Canis lupus familiaris: one gene and its partners. The protein of the gene in region 6 purifies or fractionates together with the protein of the main gene of each other region. This does not show direct contact. Links are inferred from orthologs where the notes say so. Each region holds a gene or a part of one and is shown on either strand. Other genes may lie near its edges.

Region 1 (3,875 bases), on a different chromosome or scaffold from region 6:
GAGAGAGAGAGAGGCAGAGACACAGGCAGAAGGAGAAGCAGGCTCCATGCACCGGGAGCCTGACGTGGGATTCGATCCCGGGTCTCCAGGACCGTGCCCTGGGCCAAAGGCAGGTGCTTAACCACTGCGCCACCCAGGGATCCCTCAATTGTTCTTAAAGTGATTATTTAAGGTACAATTATATATAGTATCATAAGTGCACCATGACATGAATTTTGACAACTATATATGTAACCAACAGTACAGTCACAATATTTTTATCACTCTAGAAGATTCCTCTGTGTCCATTTCTAATCTCCTTCCTTCTGCGTAGCTACCACTGTTCTCATTTCAAACCCTGTAGACTAGTTTTGCTTATTCTACAATTTCATTGACAATTGAAGTCATACAGTATATATTCATTTGTGTCTGGCTTCTCTCTCTCTTCTCTTTTATTTTTATTTATTATTTTTTCTTTTAATTTATTCATGAGAGACAGTGAGAGGGGGGCAGAGACACAGGCAGAAGGAGAAGTAGGCTCCATGCAGGGACCCCGATGTGGGACTCAATCCCAGGTCTCCAGGATCAGGCTCTGGGCTGAAGGCAGCGCTAAACCACTGAGCCACCCGGGCTGCCCTCTCTCTCTTTTTTAAAGGTTTTATTTTTAAGTAATCTCTATACCCAGCGTGGGCCTTGAAACTCACAACCCCAAGACCAAGAGTCATATGCTCCCCTTCCTGAGCCAGCCAGGCACCCCTGGTTTCTTTCTCTTAACGTAAAGTTTTTGAGATTATCCATGTAATTGTATGTATCAGTGTGTTTTTTTTTTAATTGCTGTGCAGTGTTCTGTGGTCTGAATATGTAACTATTTATTTGTCCATTTTGGTGATAAATGTTTGAGTTGCCAGGATTTTTCTATCTCAAATAAAGCTGCAATAATATTCTTCTACAAGTCCTTGGGTAGCTATACAGTTTCATTTTTTGGGGGGGGGGGTGCAAAATACTTATGAGTGGTTTTACTGGATTAGAAAATAGATGTTTAACTTTATGTGTCTTTTTTTTTTTTTTTTTAAGATTTTATTTACTTATTCATGAGAGACACAGAGAGAGGGGCAGAGACACAGGCAGAGGGAGAAGGAGGCTCCCTGAGGGGAGCCTGATGTGGGACTCCATCCTGGGTCTCCAGGATCATGCCCTGAGCCGAAGGCAGACACCCAACCGCTGAGCCACCCAGGCATCCCTAACTTTATGTGTCTCGATTAATTACTGATGAGAAAAATTATTGCCACTTAATATATGCATTTCGGTCAGACTTCCAAAATAGAAGTTGTACAAGGGAAAGGAGCCAGGCAACAAAGCCTTTGTGTTGAAATGGTTGACTTGTAAACTGGCTCCTTGGGTATGTTTCAATGTTTAGGTGAAATCTGATATAAAATGTGAGATCCATTTTTACTAGTGTAGCTCTTTATTAGTTTTTGTTTTCCCCCTAATGGACTCTTTTAGAAGAAATGGCGCTGTCACCCACATCAAGATTCAGAACACTGGTGATTACTATGACTTGTATGGAGGGGAAAAGTTTGCCACGTTGGCTGAGTTGGTCCAGTATTATATGGAACATCACGGACAATTAAAAGAGAAGAATGGAGATGTTATTGAGCTTAAATATCCTCTGAACTGTGCAGATCCTACCTCTGAAAGGTCAGTGATGTTTAATGCACCTCTTCCATGCCATAGGTGTTCTACGAATGCATTACGGGGCTTTGGCTTTACCTGTTTCTCAAGTTGTAATCTTTGCAACTAAGTAAGTTTTACTGAAGCAAGAATCATAGGATGAAATTATTTTCAGAGTGCCTTTTTTCTGGTGAAAGTTTCGATTAACATTCCTTATGCTTAATTTTGCAGGGGTCACAGACTATTCCTGTATATACTTGGTACATGCAGTAATTTTAAGATTATTGAATTTGAGCCCATAATCTTTAAGAATTAGGAGAGGAAAATAAGTGCTAATGGAGGCGCCCAAACAGCAGCAGTTCCCTGTAGCAGCTCCCCATCAGCTATTCAGCCATGCCACCAACAGATGTCAGTTTAAGCTCAGAAGCTGAAAGTCAGAGCTTGCAGAGGGTCAGATTTTTCATCAGTTCTGTTCTGTTATATCCACAAATGTGGGAGAATGACCTTGCTTAGAGGGAATTACGTTATTTCTGAGATCATCTTTCGCTTGATTTGGAACTAAGCTGATGAAAGCTGAGACTTGACTTATTTTTATTGATTTTATTGGTTTTCTACATTCCCACTCTCCTCTCTGACTCAGTACAAACTCAGGGTCTACTTAATTAGGTTTGTATATTTTGTATCTTCAGGTAGGTCTCTTCAACTTGCATCTTCATGTCAGTGCTGTTACAGGCAGATAATTTCTCTAGCTATACTATAACTTCAAGCAAAAGGCTGTTTGCCAACTCAGTTTATTTCTGAATTTTACTCTGTTCATTTGAGGGTGGATGAAAAACAATTCACTGTATATTCCTCTAGTGATGAGCCACTACACTAGCACTATCTGCCATGATAGTTAGTGCTTGCTTTCTTATCAAGATCCTGAGGGAAAAAGCCACATTATTAATATAACTATGTGAAGGTTTTTTAAAAAGTTTGTTTGTTTATTTATTTAATCTCTATCCCCAACATGGGGCTTGAATTCATGACCCCAAGGTCACGAGTCACAGGCTCTTCTGACTGAGCCAGCCAGATGCCCTGTTAAAATGTTTTTTTATAGTATCCTAGAGTGATATCTCAAAATCTGTCCTCTCGTGACCCGCATCAGGACTCTCGAGTACTGGGTAAAAATGCAGATTGCTGGGCTCCTTTCAAATGTAGTATATTGCTATTTCTGGTTGGGCGGCATGGGAATTCATTTTTTTAGCAAAATCCTTCAGCTTTTCCATAAATATTATATGCTTTAGAAATGATAACCCAGCATACAGTCTAAAGATACTGACAGCAAACTTGGAAGCTGTTGAAGTATTGGTTGGAAATATTAAGGAATTTGGAGTGCTTAAATTAATTTATAATGAAAATTTTTTAATGTAATGTTCACATACCAAAGCAAGGACAAACATTCAAATGATTTTTTTTCTTTTTCTTTTTTTTAAGATTTTATTTATTTATTCATGAGACACAGAGAGAGAGAGGCAGAGACACAGGCAGAGGGAGAAGCAGGCTCCATGCAGGGAATCCAACGTGGGACTCGATCCCGGGTCTCCAGGATCAGGCCCTGGGCCCAAGGCAGTGCTAAACCACTGAGCCACCCGGGCTGCCCGATTTTTTTGTTTCTACCATGACCACCTTATTTTAATTTCTTTCTCTTTTCTTTTTTCTTTTCTTTTCTTTTCTTTTCTTTTCTTTTCTTTTCTTTTCTTTTCTTTTCTTTCTTTTCTTTTCTCTTTTCTTTTCTTTTCTTTTCTTTTCTCTTTTCTTCTTTCTTCCTCCCTCCCTCCCTCCCTCCCTCCCTCCCTCCCTCCCTCCCTCCCTCCCTCCCTTTCTTTCTTTCTTTCTTCTTTCTTCCTTTCTTCCTTTCTTCCTTTCTGATTTTATTTACTTACTTGAGAGAAGGCACGAGCAGGGAGTGGGGGGTAAGGGGCAGAGGAATAAGCAGACCCTCTCCTGAGTAGGGAGCCAGATGTGGGGCTTGATCTCAAGACCCCCAGATCATGACTCAAGCTTAAGGCAGATGTTTAACTGACTGAGCCACCCAGGCGCCAGTATTTTAATTTCTTTAAATGACTGTGATTCAATAGTCCTTTTACGGTAGGGCATGGAGAAATGGCAAAGTGCATTTTTAAAAGATGGGAGATTCAAAAGAAAATAGGAAAGAGTGAGGGCATTTGTTTACAAATGACTGT
Region 2 (4,048 bases), on a different chromosome or scaffold from region 6:
AAGGTTGAGCAATGCCTGCCTGCCCGCCAGGGCCAGGGCTGGGGTCAGTGGGCCGGGGGTTATCCCCAGGCAGGCTGGGAGCTCCTGCCTCAGCGGCCCGGGCCGGGAATGGCAGAGGGGTGAGGGGTGAGGGGTGGGCCCTAGGAGCTGCCCCAACGGCCTAGGGATGGGGCTGCAGAGGGCAAGGGGCGCCGTGAGCCCACTCGGCCCAGCGTTCAAATCCAGGACGGGCCACGGCCCGTTTTCCCATCTGCGTACCAGGAGTAGCAAAAGCATCCTCCTGCCAGGGTGGAAAAAGTCTGGGTCCAGGCCTACCCTCAACACAAAGTAGGGACTTGGTAACAACGGGGGGGATGTCCCTTCTCTCTCCCGCATGGCTCCCAGTGGGGTCTGGCTTGATACCCCCACCCCCAGCCTCAGAAATAGTTTTTTTTTGACCTCAGGTTGGCAAAAAGGTCTTAGGGTGCTCTGATAAGAGCTTTTAAGACTAGTGGGGGACATGAGGCCCTGTGACCTTGGGTGTCCTATGCCCCCCCCCCCCCGGGCTTCTTTGTACCCTGTGGGAGGGAGGTGGCTTCTTTCTGATGTGCCTCCCAGAGTGGACCTCAAACTTAAATTAAGCCTTCTGTTTGGGAGTCCGTGGTGGAGACAATGATACAACTAATAATAATAACCGTAACAGCACTTTCATGGAAGGAGCTTGGAGTGAAGTGACTCGCCCAAGGTCACGCAGCGTGGCCGCCGAGCACCCCCCACCCACCCCCTTCCACCTCCCTGGGCCCAGGTCAGGGTCGGGTGGGGCCAGAGAAGACCCAGGTGTGGTCTAAGGGGGCGGGCAGGGCCGGTGGGCGGGGCTGGGGGCGGCGCAGTCGCCGCGGCCGAGGTCCCGGTGGGGCTCTCCCCCGAAGTGCCCCCCACCGGGGTCCTTGCGTTAGACGTGCCTTTAGGAGGGGCGGGGGGCCTCCCCCAGCGTGGAATCCCCTCCTTCCGAGGGCTGGGGTTGGGAGCAAGTTTTGGGGCGGGGAGGGGCCGGCCGCGCGGGGGAAGGACGGTGCAGGTGGGTCACCTCTCGGGGGGCCGGGGCGGGGCCGGGGTCTCCGGGATCCGGCCTGGGGAGCGCCGGCCTCCTCCGTGGGGCGTCCGGGCGGGCTCGGCGGGTCCCGAAGCCTCCGCCGCCTCCAGCAGGGGGCGGGCGGCGGCCGTGCTTCGGGAGGGGGAAGGCGGTCGCGCTGCCCCCTCCCCGCGGCCCCCCCGGGGCGGCCTCCAGCCCGGAGGGGGCGGTCCGGGGGCGGGGTCGCGCCGCCCCTCCTCGCTCCCAATCCCCGCGCCGCCGGGTGGGGGTGGGCAGGGGGCGTCAGGCCGCCCCCCCGCGGGCCCGCGGACCCCCCGAGGGCGCGCCCCGGCTCTCGGGTCGGGCCGCCGGGCCCCGCCGGCGCCCTCGCGGGGGTCTCGGGCCGCCACCCCGCGTCCCGGCGGCGGCGGGAGGGGCCGGGGCGGCTGCCAGCGTGACGCAGCCGTTGCCATGGGTCGCCTTATAAATAACCGGGCTCGGGAGAAACTTTAGCGAGTCAGAGCCGCGCACGGGACCGGGAAGAGGACCCACGCGAGGGTCCAGCCGTCAGCCCCCGCACCGGCAGCGGCCCCCCGGCGGCAGCGGCCCCCCGGCGGCAGCAGCGGCGGCGGCGGCGGCGACCCAGCGGCCACGGTCGGAGCCGGGAGGCCGCGCCACCTGCGGGCCGGCCGGAGCGGGCAGCCCCAGGCCCCCTCCCCGGGCACCCGCGTTCATGCAACGCCTGGTGGCCTGGGACCCAGCATGTCTGCCCCTGCCGCCGCCGCCCGCCTTTAAATCCATGGAAGTGGCCAACTTCTACTACGAGGCGGACTGCTTGGCTGCTGCGTACGGCGGCAAGGCGGCCCCCGCGGCGCCCCCCGCGGCCAGACCCGGGCCGCGCCCCCCCGCCGGCGAGCTGGGCAGCATCGGCGACCACGAGCGCGCCATCGACTTCAGCCCGTACCTGGAGCCGCTGGGCGCGCCGCAGGCCCCGGCGCCGGCCACAGCCACGGACACCTTCGAGGCGGCCCCGCCCGCGCCCGCCCCCGCGCCCGCCTCCTCCGGGCAGCACCACGACTTCCTCTCCGACCTCTTCTCCGACGACTACGGAGGCAAGAACTGCAAGAAGGCGTCCGAGTACGGCTACGTGAGCCTGGGGCGCCTGGGGGCCGCCAAGGGCGCGCTGCACCCCGGCTGCTTCGCGCCCCTGCACCCGCCGCCCCCGCCGCCGCCGCCGCAGCCCGCCGAGCTCAAGGCGGAGCCGGGCTTCGAGCCCGCGGACTGCAAGCGGAAGGAGGAGGCCGGGGCGCCGGGCGGCGGCGCCGCAGGCATGGCGGCTGGCTTCCCGTACGCGCTGCGCGCCTACCTCGGCTACCAGGCGGTGCCGAGCGGCAGCAGCGGGAGCCTGTCCACGTCCTCGTCGTCCAGCCCGCCCGGCACGCCGAGCCCCGCCGACGCCAAGGCGCCCCCGGCCGCCTGCTACGCGGGGGCGGCGCCGGCGCCCTCGCAGGTCAAGAGCAAGGCCAAGAAGACGGTGGACAAGCACAGCGACGAGTACAAGATCCGGCGCGAGCGCAACAACATCGCGGTGCGCAAGAGCCGCGACAAGGCCAAGATGCGCAACCTGGAGACGCAGCACAAGGTCCTGGAGCTCACGGCCGAGAACGAGCGGCTGCAGAAGAAGGTGGAGCAGCTGTCGCGCGAGCTCAGCACCCTGCGGAACTTGTTCAAGCAGCTGCCCGAGCCCCTGCTCGCCTCCTCCGGCCACTGCTAGCGCGGCCCCCGCGCGCGGCCCCCCGCCGGCCGGCCGGCCGCCCGCTCGCTCCGCCCGCGCGCCCGCCCGCCCGCGCGCCCGCCCGCCTGCCCGCGCGCTGCCGGCCGCGCCGCGGGGACCCGCGCCCCCGCCCCCGCCCCCGCCCCCGCCCCCGGGGCGCCGGCGAAACTTTGGCACCGGGGCGCTTGGCGGCGCGGGGAGCTCGTCGGTAATTTTAATATTTTATTATATATATATATATATCTATATTTTTGTCCAAACCAACCGCACATGCAGACGGGGCGCCCGCCCGTGGTGTTATTTAAAGAAGACGTGTCTATGTGCACAGATGAGTGACAGGCTCGCTGCCTCCCCTGCCTCCTCTCCGGGCGCCGGCGGGCGGGCCGGTTCCGAAGTTGATGCAATCGGCTCGAACATGGCTGAACGCGAGTGTACACGGGACTGACGCAACCCACGTGTAACTGTCAGCCGGGCCCTGAGTAATCGCTTAAAGATGTTCCTACGGGCTTGTTGCTGTTGATGCGTTGTTGTTGTTGTTGTTGTTGATGTCGTTGATGTTGTTGTTTTTTGGTCCTTTTTTTTTTTTTGTATTATAAAAAAAATAATCTATTTCTATGAGAAAAGAGGCGTCTGTATATTTGGGGATCTTTTCCGTTTCAAGCATTAAGAACACTTTTAATAAACTTTTTTTTTTTTTTTTTTTTTTTGGAGAATGGTTAAAAGCCTTTTGGGGGCAGTAGTTGGCTTTCGATTTTTTTTTTTTTAATTTATTTTTTGGTTTAGATGATTTTAGATGTGCTTTCCTGGATGGGGGTGTGTGGGGGGGTAGGGGGGGGTGGGGTTGTTGTGTGTTGGGGGGTTTCTATTATTTTGGGGGTTTTTTGGTGGTTGGGTGGCGGTGTTAACAGCTGTGTCGTGTGTGTGTGTGTGCTTTTTTTTTTTTTTTTTTTTGGTCCTCCCTCCACTGCTGCTCCCTCCAGGGTCTGTGCTTGGAGGTGGGGGATGCCAGGTTTCTGGGGCTCTCAGGGTGACTCAGCGCCCCTGAGTGCTGGGGAGGAGTGACCCGGAACCCTGCTTGGGAAGAGGTCGGCTTGTCCCGAGTGCCAGGCTTGAGTTTAGAGGGAGGGACCTGTACGTCTGTGACCTCTGTAGGGTCCGGTGTTTGGGGGATCCGGCTAGCAGGCCACATTATGTAGGAAGAGGGCGTATGGGTCTTGGTCTTG
Region 3 (3,875 bases), on a different chromosome or scaffold from region 6:
TATCATAAATAAATAAAAATTAAAATTAAAAAAAAAAAAAAACTGCAAGCCAGGACTGAATCCAGGACTATGGGATTTTAAAGCCAGAGTTCTGTCACATTTCCTTGTCCAGTGGGGTGGGGGATTCCTATCTACTTTGTATCATGACTAAGTGCTTAAAATTGGTTTTCTCATACAATCTTTAAGTTGACCCTACATAAAGTGTTACCAAAGATGAAACTGGGAGACCTGGGTGGCTCAGTAGTTGAGCAACTGCCTTCAGCTCAGGTCATGATCCCGGGGTCCTGGAATCGAGTCCCACATCAAGCTCCCCATAGGGAGCCTGCTGCTCCCTCTGCCTATGTCTCTGCCTCTCATGAATAAAAAATAAATAAATAAATAAAAAGAAAACAAAAGATGAAGAAACTGATGTGCCAAGATCATTTGGATATAGGCATCAAAGTCAGGATTTAGTAGTCTGGCTGTGGAATCTATGCCTTCAGTTACTATATTACACAGGCATACATTAAAAAAAAAAAATGGGACAAGCAAATAATTACAATAGTAGAAAAAATGTTGACAGATGTACGCACAATGAATAGTATAGTTTCTTGAAGGATAAAGGGAAGTTCCATAAAGAAGTAGATGGCTCTTGAAAGATAAATGTGTGTTAGGAATTGAAGAAAACTTCATCGCTGAATGGGAAAATGTGTGTAAAGGAACTAAGACAGCAAGTTAGCATGTGGTGTTCTCCAGCTGTAGGATGTTGGGGACATCAGAGTAATCCCCTCTTCCTGATTAATTTAGAGAAGTGGTCAGGGGCCAGATCATAAATATTTTTGTTGGCCATGCTAAGAAGTTTGGGTTTTATTGTAGAGGTCCATTTTTCTTTCAGCTTTTCAAAAGGTACATCTTTTGATAAAGAAAATCCCTTGCCCTCCTCTAATATTTTTATAAACCCAAGTTTTTTCTGTGTAAAGATAAAGGGAAACAATTGACACATTTTCAACAGTAATATGATATTATCTGATTTTCACATAATGAAGTCCACTTTTGGGTGATGTAAATGAGAGATTAAAAGGGCATAAATCTTTTGGCAGAGAGGCAGCCTAGGAGATTATGGCAAAAATTTGAGCCAAAGGTTGTAATAATGAGCTGAAGAATTCAGCGGCAGGAAGGCAAGGGTAGAAAGGAGGGAATGGACCAAGAGATATATGTAGATAGTAAATCTATAGGATTTAGAGACCAATTGAGTACAGATGATGAAAGTAAAAGAGGGATCCCTGGGTGGCTCAGTGGTTGAGCGTCTGCCTTCAGCTCAGGGCATGATCCCAGGCCCTAGGATGGAGTCCCACATTGGGCTCCCCACAGGGAGCCTGCTTCTCCATCTGTCTCTCTCGATCTGTCTCTTATTAATAAATAGATAAAATCTTCAAAAGTTAAGGATAAATTCCAAATTTTTGCAGGAGTTATGTATCTACAGTGGTATACTACCCATGTCAGCATTATTAAAACAGCGCAATTTTTAAAGTTGTTGTTTTGGGGCAATAGTGGTATAGTTCAATTATAGAAATACTCAGTTTATTAATATAGAAGATTATCCAGATAAAATGTCAACTTTGCAGTTAAAAATAAATATGGACATAAATTTGGGAAAAGGCAATAGAAATAAATCATGGGTAATATGTAGGGTAAGGAGATGATCAAACATTTTCCTCTCTAGTCCATAACCAAAAGTATTTTATTCTTTCCCAAATAATGCATTGTATCTTTGAAATATGTTTCTTTTTAAATAAGTTAGAAGCCCTAAAGGAAAATGACCCCATCATTATGATTTTTGATAGCACCTTGATAGAGTATTCATAGTGCACAGTAAGTGTTTGATAAATGCAGCTGAATTAATCTACAAAGTTAATCTAGTATTACTGACTTTTACAATGTATCACTATTCAACTTTGTGGAAGGAAGCATTCGCAGTCTTTATTATAGTGAATGGTAAAAAAAAAATACGCTAGGGACTAATTAAAATTTTCAAGTTATATTTTACATATATTATTTACCTTTCATCACAATAAGAAAATTTCATATCCAGACTGTGACGACTGAGAAAAGTCTTGCTATCTAAAGGAATTTCAATATTTGATGGATGAGGAATGGGTTCACAAATCAGCACCAAGCACGTCATGGGTGGTTTCTTATACCCACACTGAGATTGGTTACTATTAGTATCGTAGACATGAATGTGGCCTGTGCAGTGAAGTACCTATGTACAAAGAAAACAAAGCAGTTTTTTAAAAAGCATAATATGCTAGTTAAAAAATGCAGAGATAAACATCTGAAGTGTGACACAGCAGATAAGCTTTGATAAAATTTATTGTCATTAGTGGATTAACCATATCTTTGAAATCAATAAATGTTTCCTGGGTAACACCACTCATGTAACTCAGGCACCATAAAATACTCTTTAAAAATTTTCTTTCAGACAAATCTGGGCTGATTTTTCATTCATTTCATCATAGTGGCTGTTTATTATTTTGTTACTTCTTACTTCAATGAATGTTGCAACACTGAGCAAAGAAATGAAATAATAAACAGAAAATTAAGTTATATCAAGACTCAAACACTGAGTGGGTGGCAAAGCCAACTGATTAAGTTAGTTCAGTACAATTTAAGTTCATGCCTCAAAGAGAGATTTCTAGTTTGGGATGGTAACTCAGCAAATGCTAATAAATAACTGTAAGTTTTCCCTCACAATTCTAATGCTATTTTATGTATTAGTAGTGTTGGGATATACATCACTACTCACAAGTCATTTTTACTTACTTTCCATGTTGCTGACTTGATGTTCATAGTTCTCCCCCGGCTAGTTAGGGTACACTTCATTCTGAGAAAAAAACTTCGCTGTGTATTCTGCTCTTTACCCTTTTTCACAAGGCCTAATGAATGAAAGCATGAAATAAAATTTAAAAACTAAATTTTTAAGTTTGTCACAGAGTAGCACAAAGGTGCTATATTCAATTAATAAGTCTCAGCATGAATAATGATTCACACTCCAACACATTCAAGAGATCTAACATGATTCAATCACTAACTGGGGTTCACAACTCCCAATGATTCCCTGGTTTCAGACAGCAGTTAATCATTTCACATTCAAGCTTGTGAAGTTGGCAAAATTACAAAGAAACATAAATGTGGTATAAATTTGCCTTGTAATTGTGCTACCAGTTTACAAGCACATCCCAAAAAAGACTGCAGCAAACTCCTCTAAACCTTTGCTAAATGTGTTAGCTCAATTTATAATAAGCATTCCCTATATTTATAGAACTTTTAAATCAGCAACTTTCTTTTCAAAGCAAATACCATTTTTATTTATCTGATTTTTCTTTAAATCTTCCTGTAAAGCAGGCATGACATTATTTCTACTTTGTTACTAGAGGAAAAAAACAAAGCAAATAAAATGAACATACTGAATGACTTTTCCAAGCAAAACTAGAGTGAAATAAAATCAGATCTATTTACTCCCATTCCAAACCTTACAGAACTAAGAAATGGTGAGAAGGAAAAAAAATGAAAAGCATAGAGGTGAGGAAAAGAGAACACATGTTTAGGAAACAGTAGATAGGGATCCCTGGGTGGCGCAGCGGTTTGGCGCCTGCCTTTGGCCCAGGGCGCGATCCTGGAGACCCGGAATCGAATCCCACATCAGGCTCCCGGTGCATGGAGCCTGCTTCTCCTTCTGCCTATGTCTCTGCCTCTCTCTCTCTCTCTCTCTGTGTGACTATCATAAAAAAAAAAAAAAAAAAAAAAAGAAAAAAGAAAAAAAGGAAACAGTAGATAGTTCAGGATGCTATAATATGAAGTACATGCAGAAGAGTAATGAGACAGAAAGGGAAGAT
Region 4 (4,382 bases), on a different chromosome or scaffold from region 6:
AACGCAGGTGTCTGAGGGGAAAGTGTCCTGTGACTTTGGTTACAAAGGCCCGCGCTCTCCTCCTGCCGTCGGACGGGGTGTGTGGGGAAGGAGAGGCAGGAAGTGGCTGACAGGACGCGGACTCTGGGAGGTCCTCCAGGCCCAGCTCTCGAGAAAGTCAGCGCCGCGGAAGGAAGCCGCCGGCCGCCGTCTGCGGGAGAAGTCGGGAAGATGGCGTCCGCCGGAGTCGCACAAAAGCCCTTGCGGACGGTCGGCGCGGGGTTGGCCGGGCGCGCGCGCACCCACAGGGCCGACACCCACACTCCGAGGCGCCCGCCCGCCCGTCCGCCCACCGCGGGGAGGGGGACGCTGGGGGGGCCCCCGAGAGAGCGGCCGGCGGGAGGCAGAGCCGCGCTCCGCCCGTCTCGACCCTGACACTTGTTGCGCAGCACGGCCCCACCGAAGCGCGCCACCTAACCACTGCAAAGACGTCCCCTGAGGAGGGCCAAGATGGCGGCGGCCTCCTCTTGGCACAGCCCTGCTCCCTCCCCCGCGACGGGCGGCTCTGGCGGCGCCCATTGGCCCCCCTGGGGGCGGGGCCTGGCCCCCTTCGCCGCCTCATTGGGCGGACCGACTGAGGGAGACGCCGCTTCTCCTCGGCCCACCCCAAAGTCCCGCCCCCGGAGTGCATTCGGCGTTCAATTGGCTTCTCGTTCACGTCAATTTGCGTCCCCGCTTGTCTTGTCTCAGCGTTGGCCCAATCCTAACTTTCCTGGCTGCCCGCCTGATTTCTGATTGGCTGTGGTCGGCTTCATCCTATCCCATTTCGGCCTGCTTCTTACCCCCTCCCACCGGGGACTTTGCCCAGGCATGTCCGGGCTTCTGGTTGGCCGATGTTCTGTCATTCCAACCTAAGCTCTCCCTATCCCCACCGTTCAGGGAGCCCGCCTGGCGGTTGACTGGCTCCCTCCCAAGCCTGTCATCACTAGCTCCCGCCCACCCCCACTTCCTGCGCCTTTCATTGGGCCTTAAAACTGAGAGGGCGGCCTCCCTGGGCGGACACCAGGCTCGCAACTTTGTCCTACACGCCTTAGAGAGCCAGTGAGCCTTGCCATTGGATGACCCACGCGTCTTTCTTCCGCAAGTCCCGCCTTTCTCCCTCCCTCATTGGGCGGGGCAGCAGCGAAGGGGCGGGGCCTAGGCCGGGCTTGTGGCGCGCTGCTCCCTCCTCCTTACCCCCCCCCTCCCTGTCCGGTCCGGGTTCGCTTGCCTCGTCAGCGTCCGCGTTTTTCCCGGCCCCCCCCAACCCCCCCGGACAGGACCCCCTTGAGCTCGTCCCTCAGCTGCCACCATGAGCGGTAAGGATGAGTCCACTCCACGCTTAGGGGTGGGAGGGGAATGAGGGGGCGCGCGCGAGGGCCGACCGGGCGGTCCCCGCCGTGAGGGGGGGCGGGCGGGAGGCGGCGGCGGCGGCCTTGGTCCCGCCCGGGGCGGAGGGAAGGGAGGGAGAAGGGGCAGTGGCGGGGCCTGCGAGAAAGCGGGGGATGGGCCGCCCGCCCCGGGGGAGGGGGCAGCGTGGCCTCGCCCGCCCCCTGCCCGCCCCGGCCACGGGGGACGGGCCTTACCCCCCACTATTCGGCCGCCCGCCTGAGGCTCCTCCCGCCGGGGGCTGGAGCCGCGGGGGCGGCCCGAGCAGTGCAGGCCCCGCCCGGGCCAACCGCCTCCCCGGTCCGCCCTCTGGTCGCCGCCTGCCCCAAGGCCCTCCCCTCCCCCCGTAGGTTTCCCCTCCCCCCCACCGTCCCGCCCTTTCCACGCCCCTCACCCCGAAACCGCCCTTTCCTTCCAGGGCCCGCCCTCTGTCCGCCCCGAAACCTCCAGATTCGTAACCCCTGGACCCCGTAGCCCCTTAGCCGTATCCACAAATGTTTCCCCACTCACACTTTTTTGTTTTTTCTTTCCCCTTTGCCCCTCTTCTCCTCGTGCTGCTTTTTACCCTTGAGTTTTTCTCTTTCTCTATATTCTTTGACCCTAATTTTAGCAAGCTTTCCATCCACCCACATGTTGTTCTTTGCCTTACCTATCCCTCTCCTTTTTATCCCCAGGATACTTTTTTTTATTTTGAAACTCTTTGAACATGTCCATCGCCCCTCACATTTCCTATACGAAAAGTACATTTTTAATGTTTCCTGGGTGTAATTTTGTGCCAGGGAAGAATTGAGGCCCAGTTTCAGCACTGCTAAGCCAAGTCTGTGTTCTATGTGTCCTACAATTGCCCTTTCCTCAATCCACTTTTTTTTTTTTTTTTTTTTAACGCTGGTGCCTTTCACCTTACTGTTAATTATTTGTTTCATCATAGCGTCCTTTATCCCTCCTAACCTTACCCTTTTCCTTCCTCCAACTCTAAGTTGTTTATCTTTTAATTCTTTTTAGACCAAGATCACTCCATGGATGAAATGACAGCCGTGGTGAAGATTGAAAAAGGAGTTGGTGGCAATAATGGGGGCAACGGTAATGGTGATGGTGCCTTTTCTCAGGCTCGAAGCAGCAGCACAGGCAGTAGCAGCAGTGGAGGAGGAGGAGGGCAGGTAAGTGATAAACCAGGGCAGAGTAGGGGAGATGTCTAGAGAATGTAAATATTCTTAGATTATTGTCTTTTCACAGAAACGTTTTTAGGAAAGCGCTAAACCATTTTGTAGCTAGGGAAGTTAGCACAGAGAGACAAATGATTGGGAGATCTCCAGAGATGAGGATTTCAGCAGTATGGATAGGTCAGCTTTTTGTTTCAGGTTTTTTTTTTTTTTTTTCCCTCTCTTTGGCTGCAGTTTTGCTGTTTATTTGTTTTAAAACTGCCCCCAGGGCTGGCAGCTGGGTGTCTCTGACTCCTATCCTCTCCCTTATTTTCCGGCCAGGAATCCCAGCCATCCCCTCTGGCTCTGCTGGCAGCAACTTGCAGCAGAATTGAGTCACCCAATGAAAACAGCAACAACTCCCAAGGCCCAAGCCAGTCAGGGGGTACAGGTGAGCTTGACCTCACAGCCACACAGCTCTCACAGGGTGCCAATGGCTGGCAGATCATCTCTTCCTCCTCTGGGGCTACCCCTACCTCAAAGGAACAGAGTGGCAGCAGTACCAATGGCAGCAATGGCAGTGAGTCTTCCAAGAATCGTGCGGTCTCTGGTGGGCAGTATGTTGTGGCCGCCACCTCCAATTTACAGAACCAGCAAGTCCTGACAGGATTACCTGGAGTGATGCCTAATATTCAGTATCAAGTAATCCCACAGTTCCAGACCGTTGATGGGCAACAGCTGCAGTTCGCTGCCACTGGGGCCCAAGTGCAGCAGGATGGTTCTGGTCAAATACAGATCATACCAGGTGCAAACCAACAGATCATCACAAATCGAGGAAGTGGAGGCAACATCATTGCTGCTATGCCAAACCTACTCCAGCAGGCTGTCCCCCTCCAAGGCCTGACTAATAACGTACTCTCAGGACAGACTCAGTATGTGACCAATGTACCAGTGGCCCTGAACGGGAATATCACCTTGCTACCTGTCAACAGCGTTTCTGCAGCTACCTTGACTCCTAGCTCTCAGGCAGTCACTATCAGCAGCTCTGGGTCCCAGGAGAGTGGCTCACAGCCCTCCACCTCAGGGACTGCCATCAGTTCTGCCAGTTTGGTATCATCACAAGCCAGTTCCAGCTCCTTTTTCACCAATGCCAATAGCTACTCAACAACTACTACCACCAGCAACATGGGAATTATGAACTTCACCACCAGCGGATCAGCAGGGACCAACTCTCAAGGGCAGACACCCCAGAGGGTCAGTGGGCTACAGGGGTCTGATGCTCTAAACATTCAGCAGAACCAGACATCTGGAGGCTCTCTGCAAGCAAGTCAGCAAAAAGAGGGAGAGCAAAACCAGCAGACACAGCAACAGCAACAAATTCTTATCCAGCCTCAGCTAGTTCAAGGGGGACAGGCTCTCCAGGCCCTCCAAGCAGCACCATTGTCAGGGCAGACCTTTACAACCCAAGCTATCTCCCAGGAAACCCTCCAGAATCTCCAGCTTCAGGCTGTTCCAAACTCCGGCCCCATCATCATCCGGACACCAACAGTGGGGCCCAATGGACAGGTCAGTTGGCAGACTCTTCAGCTGCAGAATCTCCAAGTTCAGAACCCGCAGGCCCAGACAATCACCTTGGCCCCAATGCAGGGTGTCTCCTTGGGGCAGACCAGCAGCAGCAATACCACCCTTACACCCATTGCCTCAGCTGCCTCCATCCCTACCGGCACAGTCACTGTGAATGCTGCTCAGCTCTCCTCCATGCCTGGCCTCCAGACCATTAACCTCAGTGCATTGGGTGCTTCAGGAATCCAGGTGCACCAGCTTCCAAGCCTGCCA
Region 5 (4,486 bases), on a different chromosome or scaffold from region 6:
CAACTTCATACAGCAAAAGTGCAGCTCTTAAAAAAAAAAAAAAAAAAAGTGCAGCTCTTTTTGCCCACAGGTCCTGTCCCTGTACTACTTAAATAAACTTCGGAAGCTGTACCACACAATGTCTCAAAAATTCTTTCTGGGCCTTTGCATTCCACAGGTCCTGCAACAGTACACTGATTACAAGGGAGGAATCTACATGGATACTTCACAATCACCCAATATCCATAGTAACATCACTGGTTCACTTTTTTTTTTTTTAAGAGAATAATTTTTAGATAGGTATAGTGCACTTACTGCCATGGAAAGATATCCGTATTACTTTGAGAGGAAATTAAAAATCTATCAGGATGAATCCAATGTTTAAGAAAATGTATACGCATAAGAAAGCCGAAATGGATCTGTACCATCATGTCACAGCGGGAATCTTGGGATATCGACAGAATCCACAAATTCTAAGCAAGGTTCTCAGTAACTTGAATTGGCGAGGACATCTGAAATGGACTGAGGACTCACTGATATTACCTTGTTTCACGTCACGTTCATTATTTTTCTATAATTTACTGCAGCAGACTAGTACCTGAAGGTACTGGCAATATCCCGCATACCAAGGCGCAGTTCTATTTAGCACAGCGTTAAAGGATTTTCCAGTATAGGTAAGAGATGGAAAGTGTGAGGAATCTTGATACAGATGGATAAAGTTTCTCAAGAAAAAAAAAAAAAAAGGGAAAAGGACAACTGAACTGTTTTCTGATTCTAGGGGGTTTAACTAGGTGAAAAACAGGGCGAAGAGACTGAATCAGAAATCAGGAATTTGAGCAACAGGGGTCATCTCTAGGTGATCATTTCAGGTTGGAAAAGGAGGGAGGGAGATGAGAGGGATGCTCCTGAAGGGTCCTGAGGTCCCAGCAGCTGCCACGGAGGACGTTCCCCAAAACTGTAGAGAACAGAGGCCCCCTCCCCTGCACCCCGTCACGTACTCTGGCCGGTCCAGGCGTCCGCATTTCGCCCCCACGAGGAAACTCGGAGTCGGGGAGGACGCGCGCGCCGCCGGGGTGCGTGTGCCCTCGGGGCCGGCGGAGACGTCCCGCGGCGGAACCTGTGAGGTAAAGGTGGGAACCCGCACCTGCCGGCTGCGCGCCAGGAAGAAAATCAGGCTGCGGAACGCTCCTGGAGGGGTCGTCGGCCGCCGCCGGGCCCACCCCGCTCGCTCGCCCGGGGGCCGCCCATCCGAACGCCGCGGCTTCCGGAAGCGCCTCGGGCCGCGCGCCCCCCGCGCCTCCGAGAGGCGGCCGGCGGCTAGTGCGCAGGTGCAGGACGCGGGCCCCCGGCCAGGAGCCCGCCCCGCCCTTCCGCCCCGCCCCGCCCCGCCCCCGCAGGCGCCGCCGGCCGTTTACTTTTGAACGGCTGCCCCGCGCTCTTTCCCATTGGCTGACGCCGCGCAGTTGAATGTAGCGCGGAGACTGCGCCTGCGCCGTGGGGCTCCGCGAGGCCCCGCCCCGTCTGGGCACCTGAACTCCCTCGGGGCGGAGGAGGGCGGGGACGCCAAGCATCCCCCGGACGCGGCGTGCGGAGGCCCGTAGACTGTTCGGGCTGTGGAGGAGGGCGGTGTCGGAGTCCCCGCGGTGAGTCTGGGGAGCATCTCCTCGGGTCCGAGAAGCCGTCTCTGGGCCCCTCTTCTTCGCCTGTAAGCCCGGCTGGGATGCCGCGTGTGCGCGAGGACGGAGGGGGCGGCCTGGGTGCTGCGCCCGTGCCGGCGCGTCCGGGTGTGAGGAGTTCGCGGGCTGCCGTTTTCCTCCCTCAGCTGTGGAGCCGCTTTCTGTGAGCAGGCCGGCCCGGCGTGGGTCCGCCCTCGCGCGGGCTCCGGTGGAGGCGCCTTCGGAGGAGGCTCGGGGGGATTTGCCCTCCGCCTCGGAGAGGGAAGGAAGGGGGCTGGTGCGGCGAAGCCCGTCAGGGACGGTGCCCATTTTACAGGTGAAACCGCGGCTAGAGAGGCGCTAGCACACACCGACCCAGGGTCCCACAACACTCAGTGGCAGAACTGAGAGGTGGACCGACGTGCTGGTGGGAATAACCTCAGTCGGTGTTTATCATTTTACTCCGGCAAGATCTTTCACTGCCGTGGATGGTTCTGGTCCTCAAGTTAACTTTTACTAAGTCAAAAGTGCGCGTGAATGTTTGCTCCGTCATCGCCATTGTTGGCTAACATTTTCAAGAGCTCGTAAAATAACTTGACGCTACAAAAAAGAGGTCCTTTGTGACAATTTATTTGGTCACAGGCTTGTTGGGATATGCAGTGTACAAGTGGTACCTCGCCCGCACCAACAACTGTTGATACCTGTCACCATTTTTGTAAAAACGCCATGAGGCACGGGGAGATAAACCTCCAAGGGTGAGATAGCTATTCCTGTGATGTCATTTTAATGTTTTTTTTTTTTTGAGAATGTAAATCTAAAACATTAAGATAAAGTTAATTTTAGAATACGAATAAAAGAAACTGAAAAAGTTGGAGAATATACTCAGTCGCCAAGGGGGAAGATCAACAAAGTAGGTAAGCTCTGAAAGATTAAGTGAATACAAAAGAAGTTCGTGGTAAATTTTCCAAGTGAATGGTTTAAAGTGGAAGATGGGGCTTTTAAATCTGAAAAAAAGACATGTTTGGTGTATAAAATTCAAGCCATCTGAGCGGAGCATGAAGTGAAAACAGCTCCCTCATCAGACTTATACCTTGCAGTTAGTCACTTTTGTATATCCTTTAAGAAATTTTACAAGGATTTGTGTGCATCTGAACACACAAATGGTATCATTTTATACATACAGACCTGCAGGTTGCATTTATTACTTAAATTACCTGGCTACCTTTTTACTATGTATTTACGTACTGATTTGCTTTCTTTTATTTTTTATTTTTTATTTATTTATTTTTTTGATGACTTGTGTAGCTATCCTTTGAAGGAAGGTACCATAATTCAGTCTGGCAAGGTGAAATTTTGATTTTTAGATAATGTTAGTTTTAACATTGCCTTTCAGCAAACATATTGCTGAATGTATTTTCACTGTGAAAAATACTGAAGAAAAAGCAATGAACACCTGAATTTCTCACAAGTTCCTGGTTAGATCACATAGGTAGTTTCTTTCTTAGTTTGGGGAAATAGATTGATGTCAGGATGCAAGTACCGTGCAAATGGACAGACTTAAAGTCCTATCTGACCATAGGATTTTTTTTTTTGAAAGTTAAAAAAAAAAAAAAGAAAGTTATGGTGATCCTTCATTATTTTTGTATATTTATACAAAGTATTTATACATACAAAATTTTTGTATATTTATACATACAAAAGCATTTTTAAAATCTTGCCTTATGTATATGGATGGTACAGTTGTAGTATTTCTAAAGTAATCTTGAATCGCATAAAATGTGCTGTATATCAGTTAGGGCCACAAAGATGTGAGACCCAATCAGAATTTTCCCAGACTTTCAGCTGACTCACACTGTAACTCCTAGAGCAAGTCACTTAACTCTATAATGTGGTAAACATAATTTTCTTCAGAGGTTGTAAAATGTAATGGATGTTTTATTACTATTCATGTTTAGAGATGAAAGGCATTATTGGTGAATTAAAACTTAAAAAATAGTTTACACACTACTCTGTAGTAGAATGGATAATGATTTTTTTTTTTGTACTGTTTAATTCTCCATAATCTATAATCAGTACTATCTAGTTAGACATAGTGGTGGAGGTTCTGTAGAAAGTCCGTTTTCTGGAGAAAGACTATATAAAAAGTTTAGATATTCAGAAGTGTATTTGTTTTGACACTTAAACACAAGAATTTTGTGAAATAACTTATAAGTGGATGATTAGCCTCAGATTTATTTTTTATATTCATATCTTGAGGATTTTAAAGAGGATAACAGGAAATCTTGATATAAATTATCAATGTTTACTTGGGCTTTTAGTACTCACCAGAGGAAAATAGCATTTTACATGGGTGACTTTTATTTTACTTCTTTGCTTTCTAAAAACATAAGATAATGAAAGTTGATTCTACAATTAATTTGGCAGAGGAAAGACAAGGTAATAGGCAAGGCACTTAAAATTTTTTTTAAAAAGTTATTATTTTGAAATTAGACATAAAATATACTATTATAACCATTAAGTGTGCAATTTACTGTCATTAAGTACATTCACATTATTGTGCAACTGTAAATACCCATCTGCCTCCAGAACATTTTCCATCTTCCCAAACTTAGAACTAAACAATAACTCTCCATCTCCTCTCCCTCTAGCCCCATTTCACTTTCTGTCTTTGTGGGTTGCTTACTAATTTTTATATTATACGCATTTTCCATATCTTTTGCAATCATACAGTTTTTCTCGATTGACCTAATTGAGTAATTTTTTGTTATTAAATTAATTTTACATTTCTGGGAAGAACCTCATTTTGGTCATTGTACTGTATTTTTTTTTTTTTGTACTGTATTCTTTTGATG
Region 6 (3,875 bases):
AACTCTTGATTTTGTTTCAGGTCCTGATCCTCAGGGTCGTAAGACTGAGCCCCATGTTGGGCTGTGCCTTCAGTATAGAGTCTGCTTGTCCCTCTTTCTCTGGCCCCCACCCCTACCCCCAACGCACATTCTCTCTCTCTCAAATTAATAAGTTAAATCTTTAAAAAAAGAAAAAAAAAGATGGTCATCTCTACATTGTCACATCAGTGGAATCATTCTTTTTTTTTTTTTTTTTTTTTAGTGGAATCATTCTTTATCTGCTCTTTTGCTTTCATTTATGCAGCAGATCTTTAGTGAGCTGAGCATCCAGATGTGCAAGGCCCAGCAATGTGCATGATGCATGGGCTTGAACTATGAGAAATTTGACATAAAGGGGCACCTAGAGACTTAAAGCATGACATTGGAAATTTAGGACAGCCCTACATGAGAAAGCCTGTTTGTTCATATCCTCACTAACCCTGAATTTTGTTAATTCACTTAAAGCAGTGTTAAGTGTTTTCTGGTCAGGGACCCAGAAAGCTTAAGTTCTGGCAATGGGAGAATGTAAGTGGCAAAAGAGAGTTGGGGAACCCAGAAATCTCAGCAGCTGTCCTGTTCCTCCTCATGCTCCACACACCCCCACATCTCTGCCTTCTCTCTTCAAGGTCTTTTAGTGTTTATTAATCATGCGCTTCAACCTCTTCTGTCATGCAAGGGGACACGAAGACCTGTGCTGCAAAGGGACGTGGCCAGGGTTACACAGATAGTAAGTGACAGAGCTAGCTCAAGCCCATCCTCTTGGGATGTCTAATTGCCTACACTTCCCACATTTTGGTACAAGGATGGGTTAGGATAAAGGCAGTACCACATTTCATATTTCATGTTCTCCATACCTGAGTTTGAATGCTTGTCACTTTCTTTCTTTTTTTTTTAAGATTTTATTTATTTTAAGAGAGAGGGGGAGAGAGAGAGAATATAATCGAGGGGGAAGGGCAGAGGGAGAGGGAGAAGCAGGCTCCCCGCTGAGCAGGAAGCTCCACCCTGGGCTCAATCCCAGGACTCTGAGATCATGACTTGAGCCAAAGACAGATGCTTAACCAACTGAGCCAGCCAGGTACCCTTTCTTGTCACTTTCTGATGATTATTCTATTCCTGCTTCTTAGGGATATAAGTTTTAACACTTCTTCCTCTATGCCAGCTCTTTTTGAAATGTTAAATTTTAAGAAGGAACTGTTAAAACACAAAATCCCTATTTCTTATTTTTATTTATTTATTTATTTACTTACTTACTTACATAAGCGCTGCACCCAACATGGGGCTTGAACTTATAACCCCGAGATCAGACGGCACATGCTTTACCAACTGAGCCAGCCAGGTGCCCCCCATTTTTTATTTGATATTGCTGAATGATACACTCACAAGTGATAAATGTTACGTTATACCACAATAAAAAAAAAATTCCCCCTTTCTTATCCGAAGGGACTACATGGTGGTGTTTATATCTGTGGGCTTCCCTTCCCCTTCTCCAGCTCACCGGTGTGCACTCACTTAGTAACTGGTAGCTTTCTCATTTTATTGGCAGGATAACCTCATTAGCAGAGTCACAACTTCAGACCCGCCAACAAATTAAGAAACTGGAGGAGTTACAACAAAAAGTGTCCTATAAAGGGGATCCCATCGTCCAGCACCGGCCAATGCTAGAGGAGAGGATTGTAGAGCTGTTTAGGAACTTAATGAAAAGGTAACTTCGAATTCCGGTTCCTTTCCCTCATCGCTCCCCACCCCACCACCTCCTTTGCTTTGAGGCGTAGAACGAAAACCAGTTCACTGCAGAGTGTATATGTGGACTGCTGTCCTCTTTGCCTTTCAGTGCCTTTGTGGTTGAGCGGCAGCCTTGCATGCCCATGCATCCTGACCGGCCGTTAGTCATCAAGACTGGCGTCCAGTTCACTACCAAAGTCAGGTGGGCCCCATATTTCCTCTTTTGGTAGATATTTTATTTTTTAAATAAATGTTATTTATTTATTTATTCATGAGAGACACACAGAGAGAGTCAGAGACATAGGCAGAGAGAGAAGCAGGATCCATGCAGGGAGCCTGATGTGGGACTTGATCCTGGGACTTCTGGGATCATGCCCTAGTCTGAAGGCAGACGCTCAACCACTGAGCCACCCAGGTGTCCCTGGTGGATATTTTATTGAGAGATGTTCTTAGGATGAGAGCCGAGTTGATGGCCAGAGTTTTCCTTTCTAGGCCTCACGGGTGGTAGTATAGTGGGTATGGAATTTGCTGGCATAATATCGTATCAATTTGCTTCTTAATTCTCCTGTCAAAAGCTAAGGAATGATTACCTCTTTTTGAGGTTACATGAATATATTCCTACAATTTCAGGCCTATAGTCTTGGGCCATTGTGTCTCCTTCATCCCTGCAACAGAGGCATACTAATGCTGGTTATGTTCTATCCTTGGTGCCTACTTTTCACTACGAATTTTAGGGGAAAGAGTAAGGCATCGAGATATAGAAGCTAAGAGGCCATAGAGCAGGTGGGTGGTGGGCCTGCAGGGTGGGGTGTGACTTTCACACCCAAGTCAGGACAGGTATATTGGGGTTTGGTCTTCTGCAGTGAAATTTCCCTCTTTAGAAACTGGGTGTTAGGTTTCAGGCTTAACAGAAAGCATACCAGCTGCAGAGCGCGTGTTCCTGTAATAATTCTCATGAAACGACTTTCATTATCCTTTTGTAAATCTCATACAACTTTGTCCAAGTTTGTGGTTTTTACGCTTTCTATCAGTAACAATGGGCCTGAAGGGGTGATACTCAGTGTAAGGTCAAAGATGTCACTAGTAGGAAGAGGAATCTGGGATTGTGTTTTATTCACCTTTTAGAAATGAAGGGTTATGAATTCTGTATTCCTTTGAGTAGGAGTTAGTGGTGGAGCCTATTGACTTGTTTTTAAAACTGATATATTTTTTTCTTTACTCAAAAACTTTCCCTCCCACTTTCTTTTGAAATAGATTGCTGGTCAAATTCCCGGAGTTAAATTATCAGCTTAAAATTAAAGTGTGCATTGACAAGTAAGTACTCTGTATGTTAGCTTTTTTTTTTTTCTTTTTTCAAATGAGGGACAGAAATGAGAACTTGGATAATTATCATGTGAACTTAGAGGCTTTATCTCCATTTGGGGATCTTCATTTTTTGAATAGAAGTTTTCAAAAGTCTTGCAGTTCATTGTCATTTGCATGCCTGAACAAAAAACCACAAAGCTGGTGGTACAGATATGAGTTGTGATTGCTATTGTGACCCTGGGTCCTCCTTTTTCTTTAATTTTTTACCTGCAGACTTTTATTATAAAGATGTTGATCCTTCTTGAGAAGGTTAATGTGGCATAAGCAAAATACGTATAGAATTTCTTAACTCTTGACTTGCTCTTCAAGCTGTATCTTAGATGAGAAAAATAGCCAAACATTGTTTCTTTAAAGGATTTATTTATTTATTTATTTAAAATTATGGTAAAAATTTTAACATAAAATTTACCATTTTAATCATTTATAAGTGTATAGTGTTACATATATTCACATTGTTGTGCAACGGATCTCCAGAACTTCATCTTGCAACATGGAAACTTTCCAACCATTAAATAACAAATTCCTGTTTCCCTGTCCTCCCAGCCCCTAGCAACCACCATTCCACTTTCAAAAAAAATTTTTAATGAATAAAGATAAATAGGAATGGTGTAGGAAGATGCCTTGCCAGATACTAAAATGTATCACAAAGTTTCAGTTACTATATGAGTGTGTTACTAGGGCAGGAATAAATTGATTGATCATTAAAACAAAACCTTATGTCCAGAAATAGACTTCAAATTTATAGAAAGAATTAATATACGTTTAAAGTG
Region 7 (4,559 bases), on a different chromosome or scaffold from region 6:
GGGAATCGAGTCTAGTCTCGCATAAGGCTCCCGGCAGGAAGCCTGCTTTTCCCTCTGTGTCTGTCTTTCATGAATAAGTAAATATATATATTTTATTATTATCTTTTATTTATGATATAGAGAGAGAGAGAGAGAGAGAGAGAGAGAGAGAGGCAGAGAGAGAAGCAGGCTCCATGCACCGGGATCCCGACGTGGGATTCGATCCTGGGTCTCCAGGATTGCGCCCCGGGCCAAAGGCAGGCGCCAAGCCGCTGCGCCACCCAGGGATCCCTATTTTAAAGAGAATGGGGTCTCTGGAAGGGCAAAGGCTTTGGAAGAAAAGTAGGCAATTCATAGACGGGCAGAAAGACGACTGTTTTGGGAAGAAAACCTCCCCTCTGTTCACCTTCAGCCCCACCAAAGGCGTGGGGTCTCCGGCGACGGTCTGAGTATTTGGGGTAGGGGGTGAGGGACCACAGGGAGACTTGGGGCTTAGGTCCACTTTAGATTCTAGCAGCCCAGGCTTTCCCCCAGGGAGAGGAGTCTCGTTCCAAGTAGGAACCTCTTCAGGCGGCCAAATCCCAGTCGGCCCGGCCTTCCTCGCAGCATGATCGCGCCGGGCGGGCAGAGCAGCGCAAGGGGCCGGAGCAACAGTGAGCAGGTTGAGTCCCCAGAACGTCCTCCCTTCCCACCCGTTGGCTCACGCACCCTTTCAAGGAGTTAAGCTCCGGGCGCGGGTCTCGGAGCCCCTCCCCTCCCCGCTTCCGACCCCGCCCCCGCCCCCGCCCCCGCCTCCGCGGTCCTGGCGGGCTCACCCGGAGGGGGCGGCCCCAGCCCCAGCGCCGGGCCGGGCGGAGCTCGCGTCCGGGCGGAGCTGCCGCTGCAGCGTCCAGCTGCCGGACCGACCGACCTCCAGCCTTGCAGCCCCCCCACCTCCCCGGCCCACCCTCCGAGCCTCCCGAGCCCCCTCCCCGCTCCCCGCAGCTGTGCTGGTAAGTCCCGCTCGTCGCACCAAACTTTTTTGCTGCGGAGTTTGAGTCCTGCCGCGGGACCCCAGGCAGCACTGTAGTTGGTTGGCCGGGAGGGGGGTGGGGGTGGGGGTGGGGGTGGGGGTGGGGGGCGAGGAATCGAGAGCAGCCGTCCTGACCGTCACCACTGCACAGCTTCTCCGAAGCGGGTCAGATCTCACCCGTTCCCCGAGTTGGTAGAACTCTTGACTTGAGCTGGTTAAACTCGTCGAGGAGGAGATGACGGTGTCTGCTCCAACTTCGCCACCCCTCCCCCATTTCTCTAAGATTGAGCAGTTCTCGCTACTTTCCCCCCGTATTTCAAGTGTCTCTGGCTCTCTAAAAGCTCACCCCCTCCCAGTCCCGGCGTGGCAGAGCCCTCCCTCGGGCGCTGCGGGCCCGCCTCCCCTTCCTCACCCCCGGGGACCCTCCGCTCTGGCACCCCAGCCGGAGCCGCGCAGGGGCTGGGTCGGGCGGAGGGAGGGGCCGAGGCCGGGGCCTGTCCGGAGCCGGGCGGGCGGGGCCGGGAGGGGAGGCGCAGGGGCCGGGCGGGGCGGAGCAGGCGGCCTTTGCGGCGGGCGCCGGGGTGGGGAGTTGCGCGCCGGTCCCTGGGCCTGGGCTCGGGCTCGGGCTCGGGCGCCGGCGATGTCTCAAGATGGCGGAGCTGGGCGAGTTAAAGGTACCGGCCCCCTCCCCCAGCCCCGTGTGGACTGCGCCCGCGGAACGCCGAGTCTGGGAGGCGACCGAGCCCGGGTGCCGAGGGCTCGGCGGGGGCGGGGGGCGCGGAGACGTGGCGGAGACCGGCTGCCCGAGCGGGAGCCGAGCGGCGGCGGGAGCGGACCGGGCTGCCACGGGCTCGGGGGCGGGGCCGCGGGGCAGATGCAGGGGTGGGGCCGAGGGGAATTGCCGCTGTCGGGGGCCGAGGCGCAGGGGGCGGGGACGCGGGGGTACGGGTCGGACTCGGTGGTCGGGGCGGGTGCCCGAGGAAGGCCGAGGTCCCAGCTGCCGCGGGGGCGCGGGGGGCGAGTCACCGAGGCCGCGAGACGCGACAGTAGGGGGCAGATGCGGGGCTGGGACGCGGGCAGAGGTGCGGAGGCGCCCGCGCGGTGCCGCCGAGGGGATGGCAGCTCTGGGGCTGCCGCGGGCTTCCGAGCCTCGGGAGCACCGCGGGCGGCGGAGATCCCGGGGGCGGGGCCGCGCGGGCTGCGGGTTCGAGGGCGGCGAGGAAGCCGCTGCCCTGGTGGATCGGTCTTTGGGCTTAGGTACAGGAGTGTGAGGCTGTGGGATGGAAAGGGGACGTTCTTGACAAAGCTAACGGAGAACTGAAAACCGGACAGAGGAAATGAGGGTGGGAGAAAGGTAGATGGGCCAGTTTTTCACCGCATTCCTCAAAAGGGGCCCGAAGCCAGGGAGGCTCCTGGGAGGGGGCGACTCGTGGACGGCTGGCAGAGCCCGCCCGTGACAGGGCTCCCGGGGAGTCACGGAGGGTGTCCTTTTGCGAGAGAGCGAGCGTGTGGTGCCCGCCTACTGCCACACAGGCTTGAGGGTACCCCTATCGGAGGACATCTCACAGAACCTTAAAAAAACCACTGGGTTCATCCCCCTGCCTCCTGGCTTTGTTCTGCCTTTTGAAATGGAGCCGTAGTCTTTGGCGGGCTAGTCCCTGGGTCCAGCTGCCCCAGGAGAACTTGCAGGTCTGCCCCCAGGCTGGGAAGGCGCCCCAGCCTTCTCATCTCCCCAGGGCCCCTGCTTACAGCTTAGCCCTCTCCTCTCCCACGGCTATGGGGGGGGGGGGGATTACTTATTTTCTCTATGTAGGAGAGAAACAGGATATTAGTTCCTGGCAGATGGAGTAAACAGGTAAACAAGAAAGTAACCCTGGACTGGGTGATTTACTATGAACCCCTTTGCCCCAAGTTTTGGTCGCTTATCTCCTAGAAGAATAGGACTGAGGGAAAGGTGTTGATGCTTACAAAGGATTTGGGGGGAAGTTACAAGCATTGAACCCTGACCTGAAAACCCTGGCCACAGACGCTTCAGAGGCTTGGGGAAAATAGCTGAGGTGGCTTGAAGTGTTGGGAGGGGTGTGCCATGGTGCACAATCCTCTGGCCACCTGCCCCCTTTCTTCCCTGTGGGGCTGTCTGGCCTGATTCCTCTTCTCCCCCTCCTTCTCCCTGTCTCCTACCCTCTTTCCAGGAGGCTGGGTTGGGTCTGAGAGTCTGAGAAAGGGCAGGAGAGGAGATAAGCTGCTTAAAGGAGCGTCTAGGCTCAAGGCAGGGTTGGAAGTAGGAGGCCACAGTGGACTCGGAGGTGTGCCTGTGGATGGCTTGCTGCCTGCACCCTGCCCCACCTGGCCAGCTTACAGGCACGGGGAGATAGGGTTACTCAGGCTCTGGGGGGGGGGCAGTGGTAAGGTTGACCTGAGGGCTGCTGAATGGGACTGAGATGTCCCTTTGGCCAGATTGGCTGTCCGGCTGTAATCACTGGCTGCAAAGCATATTTCTCTTGGGGAGGGGGGCGGGGGAGGCACTGCCTCTTTGGCAGTATTCTCAAATGTCTCTGTTCTCTGCAGCACATGGTGATGAGCTTCCGGGTGTCTGAGCTTCAGGTTCTGCTGGGCTTTGCTGGCCGGAACAAGAGTGGACGAAAGCACGAACTCCTGGCCAAGGCCCTGCACCTGCTCAAGTCCAGCTGTGCCCCCAGCGTCCAGATGAAGATCAAGGAGCTTTATCGCCGACGCTTTCCCCGGAAGACCCTGGGCCCCTCTGATCTCTCCCTCCTCTCTCTGCCCCCTGGCCCCCCTCCTGTCGGCTCCCCTGGCCCTCTTACTCCCATTCCCCCTGCCCTCTTGGCCCCTGGCACGCTGCTGGGCCCCAAGCGTGAGGTGGACATGCACCCTCCTCTGCCCCAGCCTGTGCACCCTGATGTTACCATGAAACCATTGCCCTTCTATGAAGTCTATGGGGAGCTCATCCGGCCCACCACCCTCGGTATGGCTCTGCCTCCTCCATCTTCCTGAATCTTACCTCTTGCCCAAGCCTTGGGCTTTAGTCCTGTGGGATCAGTGGCCTGGGATGGGGGTAGCGTCTGTGGCTGCCTGTCATGGGCTCAGGAGTAACTGCTCCTTTGTATCCTCAGCGTCCACTTCTAGCCAGCGGTTTGAAGAGGCACACTTTACGTTTGCCCTCACACCCCAGCAAGTGCAGCAGATTCTCACATCCAGGTACCTCTCTTCCCACCCTCCTACCTCTGACCTGGGGTGGTTATCCCGGGACTCTGCTCTCTGCCTTTCTTCTCGTCTGTCCTCGTCTCCTGCCTGTCCATCCTTCTGCACCTGTGTCATCTCTCATTCTCTTGTGCATCTCTTCTCTATCTCTGGGACACGTAACTGTTTCTCTGTCTATTCAGCCTGGCCCTCTGGGGGCCACATCCTGACATGTTTCCCTCTCCTCCCTGTCATAGAGAGGTTCTTCCAGGAGCTAAATGTGACTATACTATCCAGGTGCAGCTCAGGTGAGTTGATCCTCCCGCCTCCTTCCCTGCTGGGCTTCCACTGGGGGTGGGAATGAAAT

The links.
Region 1: the proteins of STAT3 (region 6) and PTPN11 purify together in Homo sapiens (affinity purification with western blotting; 3 studies listed by BioGRID). This does not show direct contact. The link is inferred for Canis lupus familiaris from reciprocal best matches to the Homo sapiens genes STAT3 and PTPN11.
Region 2: the proteins of STAT3 (region 6) and CEBPB purify together in Homo sapiens (affinity purification with western blotting; 3 studies listed by BioGRID, with this or other methods). This does not show direct contact. The link is inferred for Canis lupus familiaris from reciprocal best matches to the Homo sapiens genes STAT3 and CEBPB.
Region 3: the proteins of STAT3 (region 6) and HIF1A purify together in Homo sapiens (affinity purification with western blotting; 4 studies listed by BioGRID). This does not show direct contact. The link is inferred for Canis lupus familiaris from reciprocal best matches to the Homo sapiens genes STAT3 and HIF1A.
Region 4: the proteins of STAT3 (region 6) and SP1 purify together in Homo sapiens (affinity purification with western blotting; 4 studies listed by BioGRID and IntAct, with this or other methods). This does not show direct contact. The link is inferred for Canis lupus familiaris from reciprocal best matches to the Homo sapiens genes STAT3 and SP1.
Region 5: the proteins of STAT3 (region 6) and TRIM59 purify together in Homo sapiens (affinity purification with western blotting; 4 studies listed by BioGRID). This does not show direct contact. The link is inferred for Canis lupus familiaris from reciprocal best matches to the Homo sapiens genes STAT3 and TRIM59.
Region 7: the proteins of STAT3 (region 6) and PIAS3 purify together in Homo sapiens (affinity purification with western blotting; 5 studies listed by BioGRID). This does not show direct contact. The link is inferred for Canis lupus familiaris from reciprocal best matches to the Homo sapiens genes STAT3 and PIAS3.

Annotation. Positions count from the first base shown.
Region 1 is NC_049247.1:10,338,437-10,342,311, forward strand, and holds part of PTPN11 (tyrosine-protein phosphatase non-receptor type 11), read left to right. Parts: intron 1-1,482; coding exon 1,483-1,677; intron 1,678-3,875. UniProt on the Homo sapiens protein: Acts downstream of various receptor and cytoplasmic protein tyrosine kinases to participate in the signal transduction from the cell surface to the nucleus. Positively regulates MAPK signal transduction pathway. Dephosphorylates GAB1, ARHGAP35 and EGFR.
Region 2 is NC_049245.1:37,284,225-37,288,272, forward strand, and holds CEBPB (CCAAT/enhancer-binding protein beta), read left to right. Parts: upstream 1-1,686; 5' UTR 1,687-1,784; coding exon 1,785-2,825; 3' UTR 2,826-3,526; downstream 3,527-4,048. UniProt on the Homo sapiens protein: Important transcription factor regulating the expression of genes involved in immune and inflammatory responses. Also plays a significant role in adipogenesis, as well as in the gluconeogenic pathway, liver regeneration, and hematopoiesis.
Region 3 is NC_049229.1:36,920,556-36,924,430, reverse strand, and holds part of HIF1A (hypoxia-inducible factor 1-alpha), read right to left. Parts: intron 2,916-3,875; coding exon 2,803-2,915; intron 2,243-2,802; coding exon 2,040-2,242; intron 1-2,039.
Region 4 is NC_049248.1:44,804,438-44,808,819, forward strand, and holds the start of SP1 (transcription factor Sp1), read left to right. Parts: upstream 1-1,225; 5' UTR 1,226-1,330; coding exon 1,331-1,337; intron 1,338-1,816; exon of another isoform or gene 1,817-2,224; intron 2,225-2,409; coding exon 2,410-2,564; intron 2,565-2,888; coding exon 2,889-4,382. UniProt on the Homo sapiens protein: Transcription factor that can activate or repress transcription in response to physiological and pathological stimuli.
Region 5 is NC_049255.1:26,693,541-26,698,026, reverse strand, and holds the start of TRIM59 (tripartite motif-containing protein 59), read left to right. Parts: upstream 1-1,463; 5' UTR 1,464-1,622; exon of another isoform or gene 1,623-1,684; intron 1,685-1,815; exon of another isoform or gene 1,816-1,971; intron 1,972-1,990; exon of another isoform or gene 1,991-2,389; intron 2,390-2,395; exon of another isoform or gene 2,396-2,548; intron 2,549-4,486. UniProt on the Homo sapiens protein: E3 ubiquitin ligase involved in different processes such as development and immune response. Serves as a negative regulator for innate immune signaling pathways by suppressing RLR-induced activation of IRF3/7 and NF-kappa-B via interaction with adapter ECSIT.
Region 6 is NC_049230.1:20,469,167-20,473,041, forward strand, and holds part of STAT3 (signal transducer and activator of transcription 3), read left to right. Parts: intron 1-1,561; coding exon 1,562-1,720; intron 1,721-1,849; coding exon 1,850-1,942; intron 1,943-2,994; coding exon 2,995-3,054; intron 3,055-3,875. UniProt on the Homo sapiens protein: Signal transducer and transcription activator that mediates cellular responses to interleukins, KITLG/SCF, LEP and other growth factors. Once activated, recruits coactivators, such as NCOA1 or MED1, to the promoter region of the target gene.
Region 7 is NC_049238.1:59,314,929-59,319,487, reverse strand, and holds the start of PIAS3 (E3 SUMO-protein ligase PIAS3), read left to right. Parts: upstream 1-1,563; 5' UTR 1,564-1,641; coding exon 1,642-1,665; intron 1,666-2,210; exon of another isoform or gene 2,211-2,846; intron 2,847-3,559; coding exon 3,560-3,977; intron 3,978-4,125; coding exon 4,126-4,210; intron 4,211-4,449; coding exon 4,450-4,500; intron 4,501-4,559. UniProt on the Homo sapiens protein: Functions as an E3-type small ubiquitin-like modifier (SUMO) ligase, stabilizing the interaction between UBE2I and the substrate, and as a SUMO-tethering factor.